4 linked regions of the Drosophila melanogaster genome follow. The protein of the gene in region 3 interacts with the protein of the main gene of each other region in a pairwise test. Each region holds a gene or a part of one and is shown on either strand. Other genes may lie near its edges.

Evidence for each region.
Region 1: the proteins of CG13482 (region 3) and Dhit interact in a two-hybrid assay, tested with the Drosophila melanogaster proteins (one large-scale study listed by BioGRID).
Region 2: the proteins of CG13482 (region 3) and CG13843 interact in a two-hybrid assay, tested with the Drosophila melanogaster proteins (one large-scale study listed by BioGRID).
Region 4: the proteins of CG13482 (region 3) and CG13075 interact in a two-hybrid assay, tested with the Drosophila melanogaster proteins (one large-scale study listed by BioGRID).

What each region holds. Positions count from the first base shown.
Region 1 is NT_033778.4:17,790,957-17,798,652, forward strand, and holds Dhit (double hit), read left to right. Parts: upstream 1-1,913; 5' UTR 1,914-3,594; intron 3,595-4,162; 5' UTR 4,163-4,170; coding exon 4,171-4,472; intron 4,473-4,639; coding exon 4,640-4,648; intron 4,649-4,929; exon of another isoform or gene 4,930-6,097; coding exon 6,098-6,175; exon of another isoform or gene 6,176-6,245; coding exon 6,246-6,307; exon of another isoform or gene 6,308-6,371; coding exon 6,372-6,660; exon of another isoform or gene 6,661-6,728; coding exon 6,729-6,813; 3' UTR 6,814-7,172; downstream 7,173-7,696. Other genes in the region: CG5033 (uncharacterized protein), read left to right, coding at 1-277, 341-828, 889-1,184, 1,248-1,401.
Region 2 is NT_033777.3:22,607,669-22,611,215, forward strand, and holds CG13843 (uncharacterized protein), read left to right. Parts: upstream 1-1,816; 5' UTR 1,817-1,869; coding exon 1,870-2,438; intron 2,439-2,486; coding exon 2,487-3,006; 3' UTR 3,007-3,047; downstream 3,048-3,547. Other genes in the region: CG31156 (uncharacterized protein), read right to left, coding at 1,192-1,415, 1,478-1,607, 1,681-1,813, 3,054-3,284, 3,342-3,531.
Region 3 is NT_037436.4:14,327,757-14,330,422, forward strand, and holds CG13482 (uncharacterized protein), read left to right. Parts: upstream 1-1,589; 5' UTR 1,590-1,680; coding exon 1,681-1,989; 3' UTR 1,990-2,129; downstream 2,130-2,666.
Region 4 is NT_037436.4:16,082,463-16,085,819, forward strand, and holds CG13075 (uncharacterized protein), read left to right. Parts: upstream 1-1,530; 5' UTR 1,531-1,573; coding exon 1,574-1,706; intron 1,707-1,775; coding exon 1,776-2,098; intron 2,099-2,152; coding exon 2,153-2,716; 3' UTR 2,717-2,802; downstream 2,803-3,357. Other genes in the region: CG33258 (uncharacterized protein), read left to right, coding at 130-262, 317-627, 698-1,012.

The sequences.
Region 1 (7,696 bases), on a different chromosome or scaffold from region 3:
TTCAAGTCGCTGAGGGAGGTGCCCGCATACTCGAGATACCTTCGGGAGCGTTTCCTTCGTTGCCTGGATCTTTACCTGTGTCCCCGTGCAAAGCGTGTCAAGCTGAACATCGATGCCGAGTACCTTATCCCCAAGTTGCCCTCGCCGCGTGACCTGCAACCCTTTCCCACGGTGGAGAGTATGGTTTACCGTGGCCACACCGATCTGGTGCGGTCTGTTAGTGTGGAGCCCAAGGGAGAGTACCTCGTCTCCGGTTCGGATGATAAAACCGTCAAGAGTAAGTACTAATTTAATTGACAACCTTTTAGATATCTTCTTACTAATCCATCTCACCTCACAGTTTGGGAAATTGCAACAGGTCGTTGCATTCGCACAATCGAGACCGACGAAGTGGTACGCTGTGTGGCTTGGTGTCCAAATCCCAAGCTGTCTATTATTGCGGTGGCCACTGGCAATCGCTTGCTGCTCGTCAATCCTAAAGTGGGCGATAAGGTGCTGGTGAAGAAGACCGACGATCTCTTGGCTGAGGCGCCCAGTCAGGATGTCATTGAAAGTGAACGCATCAAGACGGCGGTGCAATGGTCAAATGCGGAAGCTGATGAGCAGGAGAAGGGCGTCCGCGTAGTGATTACCCACTTCAAACCCATCCGACAGGTGACCTGGCACGGTCGTGGTGACTACTTGGCCACAGTGATGCCCGAAGGTGCTAACCGCTCGGCTTTAATTCATCAGTTGTCCAAGCGGCGCTCACAGATTCCATTCTCCAAGAGCAAGGGTCTCATCCAATTCGTGCTCTTCCATCCGGTGAAGCCCTGCTTCTTTGTGGCGGTAAGTGGGTTAATTTTCTTTTGTTAGTATGTCTTATTGAATTCTGTTTTTTCTTTACAGACGCAACACAACATTCGCATTTATGATCTGGTCAAACAAGAGCTTGTCAAGAAGCTGCTGACCAACTCCAAATGGATATCGGGCATGTCTATTCATCCCAAGGGCGACAATCTGCTGGTGTCCACCTATGACAAAAAGATGCTCTGGTTCGATTTGGATCTGTCCACAAAGCCCTACCAGACCATGCGACTCCATCGCAATGCAGTTCGCAGTGTTGCTTTCCATCTTCGATATCCGCTCTTTGCTTCCGGCAGCGATGACCAGGCTGTGATCGTCTCCCATGGCATGGTCTATAAGTAAGTGGCTATAAATCAACATTGCCCAAGGTTAATTACGAATTTCTCCAAACTTTTTTTTAGTGACCTGCTGCAAAACCCTTTGATTGTGCCTCTCAAGAAGCTGCAAACACACGAGAAACGCGATGAGTTTGGTGTGCTGGATGTTAACTGGCATCCGGTGCAGCCATGGGTCTTCTCCACGGGCGCGGACAGTACCATCCGACTATACACGTAATTTAGGTGTACAAACCCCAAGAAAGTTTCTTTTAGTTTCCGAAAGTTTTGTGAAATTTCAATAGTAAATAAAAAATATATTAATTTTTATGAAAAGTAAAGTATTTCATATAACCATTTCATTCGAACATTTTAAAAACAACGGTTTTCGAAATCAACGGGATCCCAAAATCAAAATGTAAGTGCAACCCTGCCGAAAGTTTATAAGTTCTGGCCCCAAAGCTTTGCGGTAAATTCCAGTGGGGCGAAGAGTCCCGAGCTTTATTCTCTTTTTCCGACTCGCGCACATGTCTTACCGTCCGTTCTCTCGCGCTCTCCGCCTGTCAGTCCCTCTCCTGTGTGTACCAGGAATTCTAACTGTATAGCAATTCCACAAAGCTTTTCGCTCAGTCCACCTATGGAGCCCTCCCCCGGCTGCCCACTTTCCACTCGCCGTTATCTTGCGTTCCTCGGGAGGAGCGCGCGCATTGGAAAATCAAAATCAAGAGCTGGCGACACGGCACTGCTTGGAAATCAGTCGCCTGCCTTTGCCCGAGCGGAGAGAATCTCGAAACGCTCGAATCGACCCGTCGAGGATTTTGGCTTCAGCTTCTGGGTGCTGCTGGTGCTGAGCAGCCAAAATCGCAGAGCGCAGAAATCGAATGGGAATTGGCTGCCATTGCGGGGGCACCGAGCACGAAGGAATATAATAAAATATGGCCGAGGGCGAAATGTGAAAATGTGAAAATGCCAGTCCAGGCAGTCCAGTGACCACGAAAATTGCAGTTTCCCCCAATTCGTATTCATACACACACACACATTCTCAACAGTCAACGAAAAAAATCGTAAAGAAATTCACAAAAAAAAAATCGAAGCACAAGCAAAACAATTTCGGGGCGAAAAAGAAAAATATATACAAATATACACATTTCGATTCCGATTCTAGTGGCAAAAATTCGTATGTACTCGTCGCTGCTCCTCAAAAACATACATACATACAAACGCGACCCCCTTTTCCCGCCCACCCATTCGCCCAAAAATCCTCAAAGAAAATATAAACGTGTGTGTGGTGTTTGAGTGAAAATCTGAACGGAAGCGCTGGTTCAACAACAAGAAAATAAAACAAAATATACATATAATATACATAGATAGCCAGGCTAAAGGCAATGGTCAACAAAAGAACCCAAGCAGCTGATTTGTGATAAGTGCAACGACCAAAAATCGCTGGCGTTTCGAGTTACAAACAAGTGCAATTAGCTGCTGATGCCTACATGTTGCAGCTGTTGCAGCAACATCAGCACAAGTGGAGAAAATCACGCATACGCCCCATCCGCCCAACGGGCCAAACAATGCGCTCCACTTAGCCAAGTTGCGTGTCAATGTGGTGGTACTCCAGCCCACCCCCTCCTCACGCACACACGCACAGACGCACGCACACAACGGCGCCTACATATATATGTACATATACAATGGCAGTGTAATGACTAGCACAAGAAATAAATAAAGGCCAGAACAACAACTACGGTGGCAGCTCCAGCTGCTCATAAATTTCGTAACGCTTGTGAAATGTGCCCCTTGGTGCACGGGGCCATTGAATCGCTAGATTTTCGCCCGTAAATCCGGAGCGGAATATGTAAATGCCACCCGCGCACCGTCAACTCTCTAAAGAAACGCTAGACCCCCTAGAAAAAAAAACGGAAACCAAACCCACGCGAAGGTTTGAAGTCAGGAACCTACGATAAGGATAACTACTACTCGAAAAGGTTATCGAAAAAATCTTGAAGAATTTCTGGAATTTTTCGGCTTGTAAAATCGCCCAAGGAAAAGCTAAGGAGAAGGAAAAAAAACATAAAACAAAACGAAAACTAAAATCAAGAGCAGCAGCTGTGGGCAGAGCGAGAAAGAGAGGACAGAGCGCCACAGGGAGAGAGAGAGAGAGAGAGAGAGTGTGTGGGAACTTTCGATAAAAAATTATTAGCAAAAACATAAATACGTAACGGTCTCCCTGCATACCCCACATCCCCAAGGAAGCCGAGAAAGAGAAGCCGAAGCAAAGAAAAGAGCACCAAAGCGAGCGGGTGAGTGGGTAGGTCAGTGGCAGTGGGCGGTCCGCCAGCTGGGGCAGCACCACCTCACCACCCAACACCCATCACCATCTCCACCTCCACCATCTCCGTCAGCTCCGCCAGCGTCAACCTCAACTTTCAAAGGGCAGGTAAGTGCACACGGAAAACGAGGCGAATCGGGAGCAGTTGGACCTACTCCTCCAGATTACACTTTCCCGAATATGTATTTATTATATTTTGATAGTTTTGGTAAATTAAATATACAAACAATCAATGTTTTAATAATTCAACAGTTTTCTTTACTATTTAATCTTTAATTTCATATAAAGTTTCTTTGTGATAAATGCAAAGAACAAATATTACAATTTTATTTAAAAGGTGTTTTGACTAGATTCAAATAACATATTTATGAATATAATGTTTATAATATAAATATAATATTTATAATAATATTTATAATATAATGAATCAGTTTCAGTATCTTTTGAATGACATCTTGTCAAATTAATGGGATCCAAACCAAAAAGACAAACACTCACCAGCCAAGACAATTAAGTAGTTAAGTTCCGGGCACCTTGGTTAACAATTCTTTCTAGATGACTAATAGAGCTATTTTTTGCAGTGTGACTGTGATTCGCCCAACTGTCAGCACACTTTCCCCCCACTCCATCCCGTGCACAGTGTTCATTAACGTTTCAATTTGTTCCTTTATTGCAGGTAGCGGCATGTCCTGCACCGTTTCCGAGCTGCCCAGTGGCTGTCGATTGCGCGGCATGACTGCATCCTCACAGCAAAGTGCCGCCAACAATAGTGGCAACAATGGGAATGGCAATGGGAACGGTGGCGGCGGGGGCGTCGTCGGAGGTGGCGGCAGCCTGGGCGGAGTATCGCCCACCGTGGGCGGCAGCGTGGGAATCCTCGGCTCCACGTCCAACGTGCTGCAGGAGTCGAACGCGACCACGTTTCAGCGTCCGCAGTCGCAGAAGCCTTGCTGCTTCTGCTGGTGCTGCTGCTGCTCCTGCTCCTGGTGAGTATGGAGGCCACCACCGAGTGGCCTATTTGTGCACCGCTCGAATCCTCTGACACGAAATCAATTTCTTTCTCGTTACCGCGCTGCCTTGACTCAACCGTTCGGTCATTAAAACAACTACCTGTGCCAATACCCATCCACTGCCAACCACATCCTGACAACAGGGCCAAATGGTAAGCACCTCCTGAAACACTCATGCATTCATACACCGAGAGAATCGATTGGTATTATTGGACTGTAAAGTATAGAATATTAAATGCGCAATTATTTTAAATACGTAATTATTTTACCTAGTTAGCTTTATTTTCAAGATATACTATAACAGATGAACCAATCTTTGGTTACATTAACATCGTTATTGTTAATTAATTTATTTATTTTTACTTATTTCAATATCAATTTTTTGCAAATTTTTTATTTTTTTATTTTATAAATCATTTCATTTTAAAGGTTGTCTGTTTGAGCCCTTTTTTTAAGAGAGTCGAAATATTATTAGTCCATGTTTCTCGCAGTGCTGTCATGGATGTGGCCACGGTTACAGCTATGGTTATTGCTTTGGCTTTAACTATTGCTTGGCTTTGGCTTTGGCTTCGGCTATGGCTGTGCCCACTGACATGGATATGGATATGGATATGGATAGGGAAGTTGAAATGGAAATGGACACGGTAAAGGTGGCCTTCTGCTGGCAGCTGGCAACGCTGCTGAACATCCAAAAGCTCTTTCTCTCTCCGCCATGCGAACTTTCTCCGCTTTCTCTCTTACGAAACGCTCTTTAGCACTGGTGCCGCTCTCTCAGTTTCTCCCGCATTCATTCACAATTCCGTGAGCAAGGCGACGGGCAGCGAAAAGCTCTCTGGAGGGCACTTTTCAAATCAAATATAAATAAGTATGTGGCGGCTCCTCCGCGGACTCCTCCAAGTGTTGCATGTTTTCGTGAATGAAAACGAAAGTCTTTTGCGACCCGCCGCCAACTCGCAACCCCCCGTCCGCACCTTTGTGTGCACAACTTGGGGGTATATCGCCCCGAAAACCCAGTTCAGAGCACCCGATGTCGCCTCAAACCCCCCCTGGCCGCATCTAATTTGATTCATATATGTATAGGGGTATATGTACGCCTGTGTGACTTTGATTAGGTATTGGGCCAGCGAGTCGCTCTGATAACTGTCGTCCAGATAAGAGAGCTTTATGTCAAGTTCGAGTACTCCGTTGCTCTGTCTCCGGGCTTCGAAACCCAAAACCGATATGCCATTAGCCTATCTACAGTGTTTATTCGAGGCATTATATCTTTATATCGCGTTCAGATATATGAGTAACTTTTAAACTCTCTAGCTTAAAATGTGGTAGAATCGCTTATGTTCAGTTTCTATGTTTGGTGCAAGTGTTTTATAAAATGCTAATCAGTAGCTTGCGCTATCTAAAAGTTTACGTTATCGAGCGGCTACTGTACTTACATATTTATGCTATTTTGTGCCAGTTAAAAATGAGTCAGGCTGAGCGCCAATTCAGCGATGAATAAAATTGTAGTATACTTTAAAGGGTGATTGATGAGTTGTAAAATCAAAATAATCGACTTTTAACAAGCAAACCCCCCTTGTTTTTTCCCTTTTTTCTTATCTTTACAGTCTGGCCATCAAGAATGCCGATGAAAATGCCCCCACGAAGCGAGATCTGGTAAATGCCGAATTCTTGGATGGCGAGCAGTGAGTTTGAGCACCAATCAACTTAATAAACTTAAGCCACGGAAAAACTACATTTATTTGTACATTACAGACCCACACTGGAGGAAATCCGCAGCTGGGGCAAAAGCTTTGACAAGCTGATGAAAAGTACAGGTAAGCCATTGACAATTGCCACCTTGATCCAAACTAATTGGTGGTTGGCCGAATATTTTCCCAGCTGGTCGAAAGGTGTTCCAGAACTTCCTGCGCAGCGAATTCAGTGAGGAGAACATCCTATTCTGGCTGGCCTGCGAGGATCTCAAGAAGGAGAATAGCCCAGAGTTGGTGGAGGAGAAGGCGCGCCTCATCTACGAGGACTACATCTCGATCCTGTCGCCCAGGGAGGTGTCGCTGGACTCCAGGGTCCGCGAGATTGTCAACCGGAACATGATCGAGCCCACGACGCACACCTTCGACGAAGCTCAAATCCAGATCTACACACTGATGCACAGAGACTCATATCCGAGGTGAGTGCTCTTTAGGCAAAAATAAAAGATACTGTATTTATACTTAAACGGGGTATCTTTTTCAACAGATTCCTAAACTCTCAAAAGTTCAAGACACTAGCTCAACTGCAAGACAACTCGAATGCCGGTTCCAAAGCGGATAGTCCAACTTAGAGAGGATGGCTTGATGTCCCGGATCGGATTTGGATTTGGATTTGGATCGAATTCAGTTGCGCTGTGTTGACTTCCGCTGTTGCTCTCCACTGGTATATCTCTGATTTTCCGCCCCAATCGCTGCTGCAATCGACTAAGCAATATGTATCCATTAGTAGAACCATTTAACCATTTTGCGAGCAGCCACGAAATCAGGATCCTGGTTGGGGCCGGTGAATCAGACGTCGTGCGTTCAATGTGAATCGGATTCCTTTCTCTTCCTACGTTCTAGTCGTTAGCTAACCAAAGAGTTAGGTATTACAAAATATGTTTTCACTAAGAAGCAGGTTCGACCACAGAAAGCATTTTCCAAAACAACCAAAAAAAAACAAAAAAACAGAAAGAAAAACAACAAGAAAAAAATACCCAGAAAGCTAATACGAAACGAGCGACACAAATAGCATCCATTGTAATACTAGTGATCTAAGAGACGTATTAATCAAATTGAAACCAAGATTACGGAACCCGCTAACTGATAAGTATGTTTAAACGTAATCATAAACCGCAACGTAACAGAAATACTTTTTCCAAAAAAACATTACAAAAAAAAGAAGGAAAGAAACCAAAAAATCTTTTTAAACGTATTACATACATAAACTTTATAAACTTATATATACAACACACCAGCATATATATATATATATATATATATAGTAAAATTGTTGTTTTATTTATGAGTCGAACTAATGTCCCGTCAGTTGACTAAGGACAACGCCAAGAAATAAAAAATAGTTTTTAGGAGAAATAGTTTCACGACTTTATTCTTTGGATCTCAGCTTAAGACTAAAAATCAAATGCAAATTGGATTGAGGAGAAGCCTCAGTATTTGAACAATATTTGTATT
Region 2 (3,547 bases), on a different chromosome or scaffold from region 3:
AATTAACGAGGGAGAATTTTACGTTTAAAGGTCGTTCATCAGAAGACATCGGCATAATCTCGGCAACCAGAGGATTATCTCGAATTCGTGCAGTTGATTTTATATTTACCATGCTACTTATCCAGAATGAGGGTATTCGAGATCGGTTTCACCTGATTTAAAGCTACACAGTCAGATCGATTCGAATTTGAATTATCGTTCATATTTGCTCCGCCAAAGATTCTGCTGGACGGCTGTTTAGGAACGAGAATGAAAACTGCTTATACACATAGACTTATTATTACAAGAGTTGATAAACAATACTTACATCATTACCTATGCTATCATTATAAATGATAAAAATAAATTATTAATTAATGAACAATATCTCTACACAACCACAAGATGGAGAACATCGGCAGTAACAATAACGAAATGAGAATTGAGAAGAGGACAAGCGCATTAGCATTAAGCTTAAGCAATTACTACCATACCGTGTACAACTTGTTTTTGGTCTTTTGCGATACATTATCACATTTAACTGTGTAGGAACAGTTACTCCAATATTATGTACGGATTAATATATTTATTTAAACAACTATCGGTTGATTACGCGACATGTCCATGTAGCTAGAATATGAAATTAAATATCCATTACGGGGTAAAGAGAGATGGAGGAAAAAATAAAATTAAATGCATCATATATTTTTGAATATATTATGATTATGGTATTGTGTAATTATGTAAATGCAGACTATATAACATTGTTTATAATAATTTTTAACAATTCTACTGAAACGGCAATAAATTCGAAAATACAAACTAACTAAAAGTGAAAGCAACTTGCCTGCTGCAAACCAAGCGCCTAAATGTATGCATATTGTATATTTATTTTAACTGGCTTAAGAGGGCATCACTTAGTTTCTAAAGCAATACCCTTTCGATAACAATTCATTTAAGACAACTTGCCAACTTGTGGCGAGAAGGGAAACAAGAAGACGAACGTGGAGACGGTGATTTTTATGTGAACATTTATTACTAACTGATAAGCTTTGATTAAACTTAGGAAAGCCGTTATACTATGCATATACACATATATATAAATATATATATGAACTATATATAGTATATATGAATGCTCGTGTGAGCAACCAAACAATTACGATATGAATCATTAAATACTTCCGAAAGCATTAAATCCCTGCAGTTTGTCTAATCCTCCGCCTTGAACTTAAACGAGGTATCCGTCTCCATCAGCATATTTTCCAAACGTAATTCCAACTGGCGTCGCTTCAGATCCACCTTTACCACCGATGCCACAATGCGATCGCCAACGCTCAGCTGCGAATTATTCATGTTACTGTTGTGTATGAGGCCATTGCGCTCCACTCCAACGTCCACGAAGGCGCCAAACTGGGTTACGTTGGTCACGGCACCTGTGTGTCGGAATAGTTTCAATAAGTACATATATGAAATGACTATCATAGTCTCCACTTGCCAGTGACCACCTCGCCCATGCTAAGATCATCCAGCCTAGTTAGACCTTGTTTGAACAGTGGCCTCTTGTCCAGATCTGCTCGATAATCCTGAAGTAATTCGCGCTGCAGGGCAACCAACAGGAACTCCAACTGAAAGGAAATTTATTTTAAATTATTTGAACATTGCAATAGGCCTGTTTAGTATAGATTGAGTGGCACTTACTCGCTCCATGGGCAGCTTGTGCTGCTTGGCAATGCGATCGAGATTAGGCTGGGATGAGGCAAACTGCTTGATGCTAGCTATAAAGGCAGCCTTGCCCACATCCGACAGCTTTAAGTCACATTCTCCGACAATACTGAAAGCACAAAAAGTATTTGGTTTTAGAGTTAAGTTTTCAAATTTTCCATTATAATGATTGCCAAGCTAAAGCAGGAATATGCGGAGCGCTGGCATTATCCTCCAATTGTGCCGCCAGCCAAGCTTCGATATGTTGCATGTGGAAAGGTAGCATTCTACGGCCACAACGATAAGCCGAAATACAAGCCCTGCTGGCAGCATCCGCTCAATGTGCAGGATCAAACCCGCTTTGGAGTTTGCTGGGAGTATCCGCCGGAGCGGTACAAGCGTCGTCCGCTTCCGCCACCGTGCCGGGGATCGACCATTCCCATCCATTTGCTGAAGCCAACCTTCAAGCATTGTGAGAATATCTACTCCCGCTACGATTTTAAGCTTGAGCAGTGTGTGCACGAGCAAACTCTAGTAGTTGACCAGAAAATGAAGGCCCTGAAGAATGAGCTGGAGCAGGCCAAACCATTTCAGATTGAGAGGGTTAAGGAGATGCGTTACCATGGAGTGCGTTATCGCATTTTAGCCAGCTCGACCGGATGCACTAAGACCTATCCCGAGTACATAAGCCGGATGACCGAAGAGCGGGCCCTTTGCGAGTTTCAGAGAGCCTACAATATCGTCAATCAGTCAAAGTAAGTCTATTAAAAATACACAGCCACTGCTAATTTAAAACTTTTTAGCACCGATTTGAGCAATTTATACCTGGACATGAGTGAGTCGAAAAAGGAGCTAGATCAACGCGTAGCCAGGTTGGACCGGTCTTTAGGAAGTACATTCTTGAAAGAGCTAGATTCGGTGCTGCAAATAATCGAGGACTTAAACACGTATTTCTTTGGCGTGATCGTGAAGCTAAAGACGTGGGCGGAGCTGATGGACCCTATGAAAGAGCACTCTATAGAGGACTATCTGGGGCTTTTGAGTCAGGAGACGGACTTCCGGACTTTTATGAGTGCCGGCATGGAGAACTGCACCTGCAAGCGTTGCGACAAGAAGGATCCCTTGAAGCCGTACCTTCCGTGCTGGTGTCAAATGGAATCTAGCGAGGATGTTACAAATCTTAAGAATTTTGACGACGATTGTCCAAAGAACATAGCTGGCATCACGCAACACGAAAGTGACATTGTGACACCTAGTGACACCTCCTTGTTAGTGAGGGCAGCGGATGAAAAGGCCAGGCTTGCGATGAATCAGGCGGAATAAAGTCTCATTATTATTGGTTAATGAAGTCAATTGAATATTGGACTTACCTTTCCACAACGTTGTAGCTCTCAGGATGCACCCAAGTGCAATCTAATGGATTCTGTAGTTGTCCTCCAACGCTTCGGGGTTCGATGCGCACAAAACCGGCGCACTGGACAAACGATTTCTCACCTATGCTTCGCACGGAGAGCAGATCCTTCCGTGTCTTGAATGGTCCTTTCTGCGTACGATGCTCAATGATCTTTTCCGCTTTCTTTTCCGACAGACCAGCAATGTGCCTATATGGTGGAGAATATTAAAAATATATAACTTATTTGACCCTTAATCACACATACTTGAGTACACTCAGACTGGCTGTGTTGAGATCAACGCCAACATAACTGACACACTCGGACACAACGTCATTCAGCGATGCCGTCAAAATCTTCTCGGGAACATCGTGCTGGTACATACCAACCCCCAGGTGACGGGGCTCTATTTTAACATATTCACTCAATGGATCATTCAAACGACGCGCTATGGACACTATACAAAATATGTT
Region 3 (2,666 bases):
CCTGAGGTTTCTTGTAAATTACTATTTATTATGAGTTTATAATAAGTTGCCAATAAATTCAATTTATTGTTCCAATTTCATTAATAAACTTCGAAGTTTTTTTCTAAAACTTTCTCAAATATCCTTTTCTTCTTATTTTCCTCCAAGGTTGCCTTATCTACCACCAAAAGATTTCTTTACAAAGCTAATAAAATGTATTACCAAACTTTTGCAGAAGTTCTTTGAAAAGCAACTCCATAAAATCAAATTTATGTATTACCTGCATTGCCCCCTTCTATTTGCTTTCCCCCTACTTTCCAGCTTCTTTTTTACTCATTTCCTATATCGTTTTAGCTCCCTGAACTGCAGGAGGACAAAACCTCTGGTCGCACTTTAAATAAGCATTAAATTGATACAGCATAAAGTTGTTTCCTTCTCTTAGCCCGCTCTGTCTACCCCACTCTTTTGCTCCCAAGACGCACTCCAGACACACTCTAATCGCTTTATAACTTCTAACGCAGTTTATCAGAGTCGTCCGCAGCCCGTGGCCCCTCATCCCTTAATTCCAACACCCCCAAAAGTCATCCTTCCCATGCCATTAAGGCGGCTCAAAGGCAAAAGTTATTGTCACGCACTGAAGTCGCCTTCATGTGGAGTTGTGTGGTGCACTGAGAAAATCATTGGTTTTTAATAACTCGGCTCAAAATTATATTACATCAGTACGCAGGCTCTAGTCTTACAGTAAATATCAAATATTCTATTAATAAGATCAGTTAAAAAAGCTACTTTATTTTAGCAACATTATGAAAAGTTAACATTAGTTTACAGGGAATCCCTAAAATCATGTACCTATTTTGAGAGATATCCTCTTCATGGTAAATAACTCATACTCAATACACTGATAAGATTGTCAAGCTAAAGACGAAAATATTATGCAAGTGTTGATAAGAAGAAATTATATCAAGAGATTGTTTCTTTCTGTGCAATTTTTTTTATTGAAATGGTCGAAAGGGGGTATATAAACACCTCCACCCATGCCAATCTTCATGCAAAAGCTTTCTGGTTATTGCCTTCCTGCTCGCACTTTCTCTGTGCTTGTGTTGGGTGTCTTTAGTGCCTTTTTGGTTTTCCTCGCTTTTCTTCTTTCGTACTGTATTTTCTTATTTTTTGTTTAGGACTACGTCTGGCAAACAAGGCGGAAATTATTGTTGGCGGGGTCTTAAAGTTTTATTTTACCTTTTACATATCTATTTGTCAGCATCCTTTTTTTTGCAATATCAAATTGATGTTTTGTCTGCGAAATACTTTTTGTTTTTTCTTACATCTGCTATTACTATTACTGTCATTACATTCGTTAAGAATGAAAAGAATAAAAGCGCTTAAATGTTATGAATTAGTCCGGTGAGTAATTCCCGATCCATGATTGCACAAAAACATTGCTATCTTTATAGCCCACTTTGAGTATTAGCAATAGAATCGAAGTGAATCCCCAGTGAGTCAGTCGAATACACACCCCCTTCGATAAGATAAAGCAGCACAACAATAATACTATCTGAATTGTCAAGCTGTTCAAGTGGGATGTGTATATAAACTGGTCATATCAGCGGATGGAAAGGCAGTTAGCATTCAACAAGCAACGAGAGCAGTTTTCGAAAGGAATATATCAGTTTGATAAGGATTAAAAAAAGTAAAACATTCAAAATGTCGCCGCCACATCACGAAAATCGCCTGTTTGGAATCCACCTTGGCCTGAATTTGGGTGGAGGTGGACATCATCACCACCACCATCATCCACCGCCTCCGGTGCACCACTATCACCCACCGCCTCCGGTGCACCACCATCACCACCACGGACCTCCAATGCACCACCACGGACCCCCGCCGCACCACCACCACCACTACGGACCTCCGCCACCGCCGCCCCACTACGATCATCATCATCATCACCACGGCAGCCACTTTGACCATCATCATGGTCCTCACCATGGACATCATCATCATCACTGCTAGTACAATGGAATGGAAGGAAGGTCTTAAAAACCACAGCCATCAGGTGGCGAAATAATGAAAGTGTTTATAAGCGAATTTAATTTATTACATAAAGTGTACAAAAAACAAAACCAAAAAAATCATTAAAACCACTTAGACTTATACAAAGACATTTTTGAATGCTAGTTTCCTTGGGGAAAGTAAAAATAAATAAATTAAGAAGTACGATGATAATTCATGTAGAATTTTTTATATATGTATGTACTCGTAATGGATTTCTGCATTCCAAAAATACGTGTACTGCGCACTTAGTTAACAAATGTCCATACGATAAAGTATAAAATAACAACTAATCTTATCTTGATTGACATGACGCAAAGATTTCACCAAAACGTAATTGAACGATTCTCTATACATATAAAGCTGATTTTAAAGCCAAAGGAATCAAGAATAATTTTAAAACTTAATAATTCAAGAAATTCTAATCCAATAAGAAGATTATTGGCAACCACAAACACAAAACAAGACCACCCACGAAAACAAGTTTGTAAGCCGATAAATACAAATGAAATTAAATATAATTTTAGTACGGCTTAGATTCGCTTCGGGTGGGTCAAACAAAATGTTTGCCAATTACAAACCCATTTCGAAACGCTTTTATTTTTCTGCGGTTGTCACAAAACGCTAATTAGACAGCA
Region 4 (3,357 bases), 1.8 Mb from region 3:
ATCAGATTTGCCATAAAAACGTCACTAAAAGTTGCATTTCCTAGCTATATAAGACTGGAAGTGCATTGAACGAAAACGTCAAACTATTTTGAGTTTTTACCAGGGAATCTACTGGAAATCCTTTGGAAAATGAAGCGAACTCTCCTGATTTTGGCCATAGTTTTTTGTGGTCTAGCTATTGTGAAGGCATTAGAGTGCCAGGAGTGCCTAGAGGATAACGATGTGTATTGTGTAGACCAAACTTCCTATAGGAATTGCATCAGTAAGTTTAAAATTAAGTTCCGGCAGTACTTAGTTCTGAAAAGATTTCATTTAGAAAGCAAGCCTTTTGGCAACGTGATAAGCTGCCCCGACGATACGGTTTGCACAAACTCGAAAAATGTTTGTGTGAAAAGCTCTGATCTAGCAGAATCTGAAGTCGATGTCTGTGGAACCTCCGGTGGAAACCAATGTGCAACATGCACAAATCAGAAATATACTTGTGTTAGCAAAAATCAATTTGCGAGATGTTCCGAATCGGTTGTGGTCGACTCAAACATCTATGACTGCGATACTGATGAGATTTGCAGTTCGGAAGCACTGGAAAAGTACGACAACATATGTACGCCTTCTTGTGTCCTCGATTTTGTAGGTATTCCTGGGTAACTTAATTATGTTGTGTTCTAGTCCTTTTTTTTTTTTGTTTTGTTTTTTGCAGCTCGACGTGAGAGCCACTTGCAGCAACAGTGAATACACGACAACAACTACCGCAGCACCGACAACTGTCACACCCAGTACAGAGCAGAAAAATAGTGCCTGTACTGAAGCTGAAAAAGATCTTCAAATACCTAAGGAAACCTTGTACTTCTTTACGATCTACAAGGAGGATACTTCCTGCCACACTTATCTCTACTGCGAAAGAACTGAATCCACCGAATGGGACACTGTTTATTTGTCCTGCCACCAACCCAAGCCATATTTCGATTCTACGACCAGCCTTTGCGTATCGACGAAACCAACGGGATGCTCCTAAATCGACTTATCAAATAATTTGCAAAACATACTTGCATACCACTACTTTTAAATATATATAAAATATTATGGGATTTGGAAAACATGTTTTGTTCGTTTATAATAACTGCTACTAACATATGTGTGCGCTGTGTATTGAAAAATAAAGCAAGTTACAAAAAATAGAAATAAAAGTTTAAACTTCAGATTTTATAAAGAAAGAATGTATTTCGAAAAGACATGACTCAAACGGTAACAGAAATGTCAATAGACCTTCAAAAATACCATATACATATGTACGATTACACTTTATGAACCGCATTTCCCGGTATGAAGTACGTAAAATTAAAAAGCATGTTGCTGTCATTTAGATCGCTTCAATATTACTTTATGATGATAGACTTTTGGCAGGCATAGACAACGAAATCTGACAAACAATATTATCAACCCATAAACAATTGAAGGTTAATGCATAGTGAGCTCCTCCGCTATATAAGACGGCAGATGGGTGGTTGGGATCATATCAGTAAATCGTTCAGGTTGAGCAGCACTACCGAAAAGGTGTAAAAACTTTGGCAGGAACATGCAGAGGATAATCGCTTTGGTGGCCATCATGGCGTGTGGACTATCGTTCGTGGCAGCTCAGTCATGTCAGACTTGTCTGGAGCAAAACGATGTGTACTGCGTTGATCAGAACAGCTATCAGAATTGCATGAGTAAGTCCTGGACCGTAGTCCTTTAATACCTAAAGTCCTTTCATGTAAACATTCTATTTCTTACCTCAGAAAATGGTCCAGTTGGAGATATTATCGAATGTCCTTCGGGCACCGTTTGCTCCAATTCTGATAGCGTTTGTGCTCTGATCTCCGAGGTAAATTCGACCATATTGGACGTGTGTGGAGGCTCTGGCGGAAATGGAGCTCAGTGCGAAGTGTGTTCCTCAGGCGCCAAATACGCCTGTGTCAGCAGCACCCAGTATGCCCGCTGCTCCTCCGCCGGCGATGTGCTGACCAGCAGTGTGTACAATTGCGGCACAGATGAGATTTGTATCATAGATGCTCTGTCGACGTATCAAACCGTCTGTGTACCGTCTTGTGCCTCCGAATTTGTAGGTTTTGTTGGACTTTAAAAATTATTCATACTAACATGTTATACCTTATAGCTTGGATTGGATGCCACCTGTAGCAACAGTATTTATCAGCCAACCACAACAACTACAGTGGCTCCAACGACAACTCCTAGTGCTGCGCAGAAAGAGGATTTGTGCAATGCTGGCGAGCCTAGTACCAATCCTAGTTACTTCTTTACCAGAATAACCGATGACTCCACGTGCAACAGCTACCTGTACTGCCAGAAATCTGGAACCACCTGGGTTGCCCTCTATATGACTTGCGGCGCCTCCACGCCGTTCTTTGATTCAACCACCAGCTCATGTGTGACAACCAGGCCGACCAGCTGCTCGGATACAACGACTCAGTCGCCCTCTGATTCTTCATCGACTGCTTCTTCAACTGAGTCCTCCTCCGAGTCTTCATCAACGACTGCTTCATCCACAGCTTCCTCATCAACGGAATCTACACCAACGACTGCGTCCTCGTCGGCTTCTTCATCTACGGAATCCTCCACCGAGTCTTCTTCCACGACTGCTTCCACCACGCAGTCTTCTTCTACGGAATCATCCACACAGTCTACCTCAACAACTTCTACGACTACTCCTACTCCTTAAGCAAACGATTTTCCGCCAGTTTTCTAATTAAAGCAATAATATGGTTTTTACAAACCTTCTAAAATAATAAAGCGATATATATTTGTAAACAATCTTTGATAGGCATTTAATAGGTCCGAAATAATAAATACGATACATTTGAAATTCGTCATTGGTGTTAAATCGTTCTTGGGATATAACTGGCTTTAAACATGACTAACATGAAGATCATGATCTTAGGCAGTATTAATCATCATCTAATGGAACTCACTTTTTGCTGGTGCGCATGCAGTTTGAAAAAGCCTCGAGATGTCTAGCATTCTATATGCCATGAAATACCATAGGATTATTAGCTGGAACCCCATAAACGGAGAAATGAATACGTATGAATGTTTCGTTTAGAAAATCTCGCGTCATATGCGTATGTGTATGTACATATGTACAAATCGATTTACGCTAAAAAGTAAAAGCATTTTCACAATTTTCATGTTGAGGACAACTCGCGATAGTGGAGACCTTGATATTGTGTGTGCATGCTGTGGCTTCTGCTTAGCTAATATTAATGGGTTAAGTTCTGTACATTGATGGCCGTAAACACTTGGACATAAACACACAGATGCGCACACAAGGCAGCGCAAGTCTAAATATACAAACGGATACAA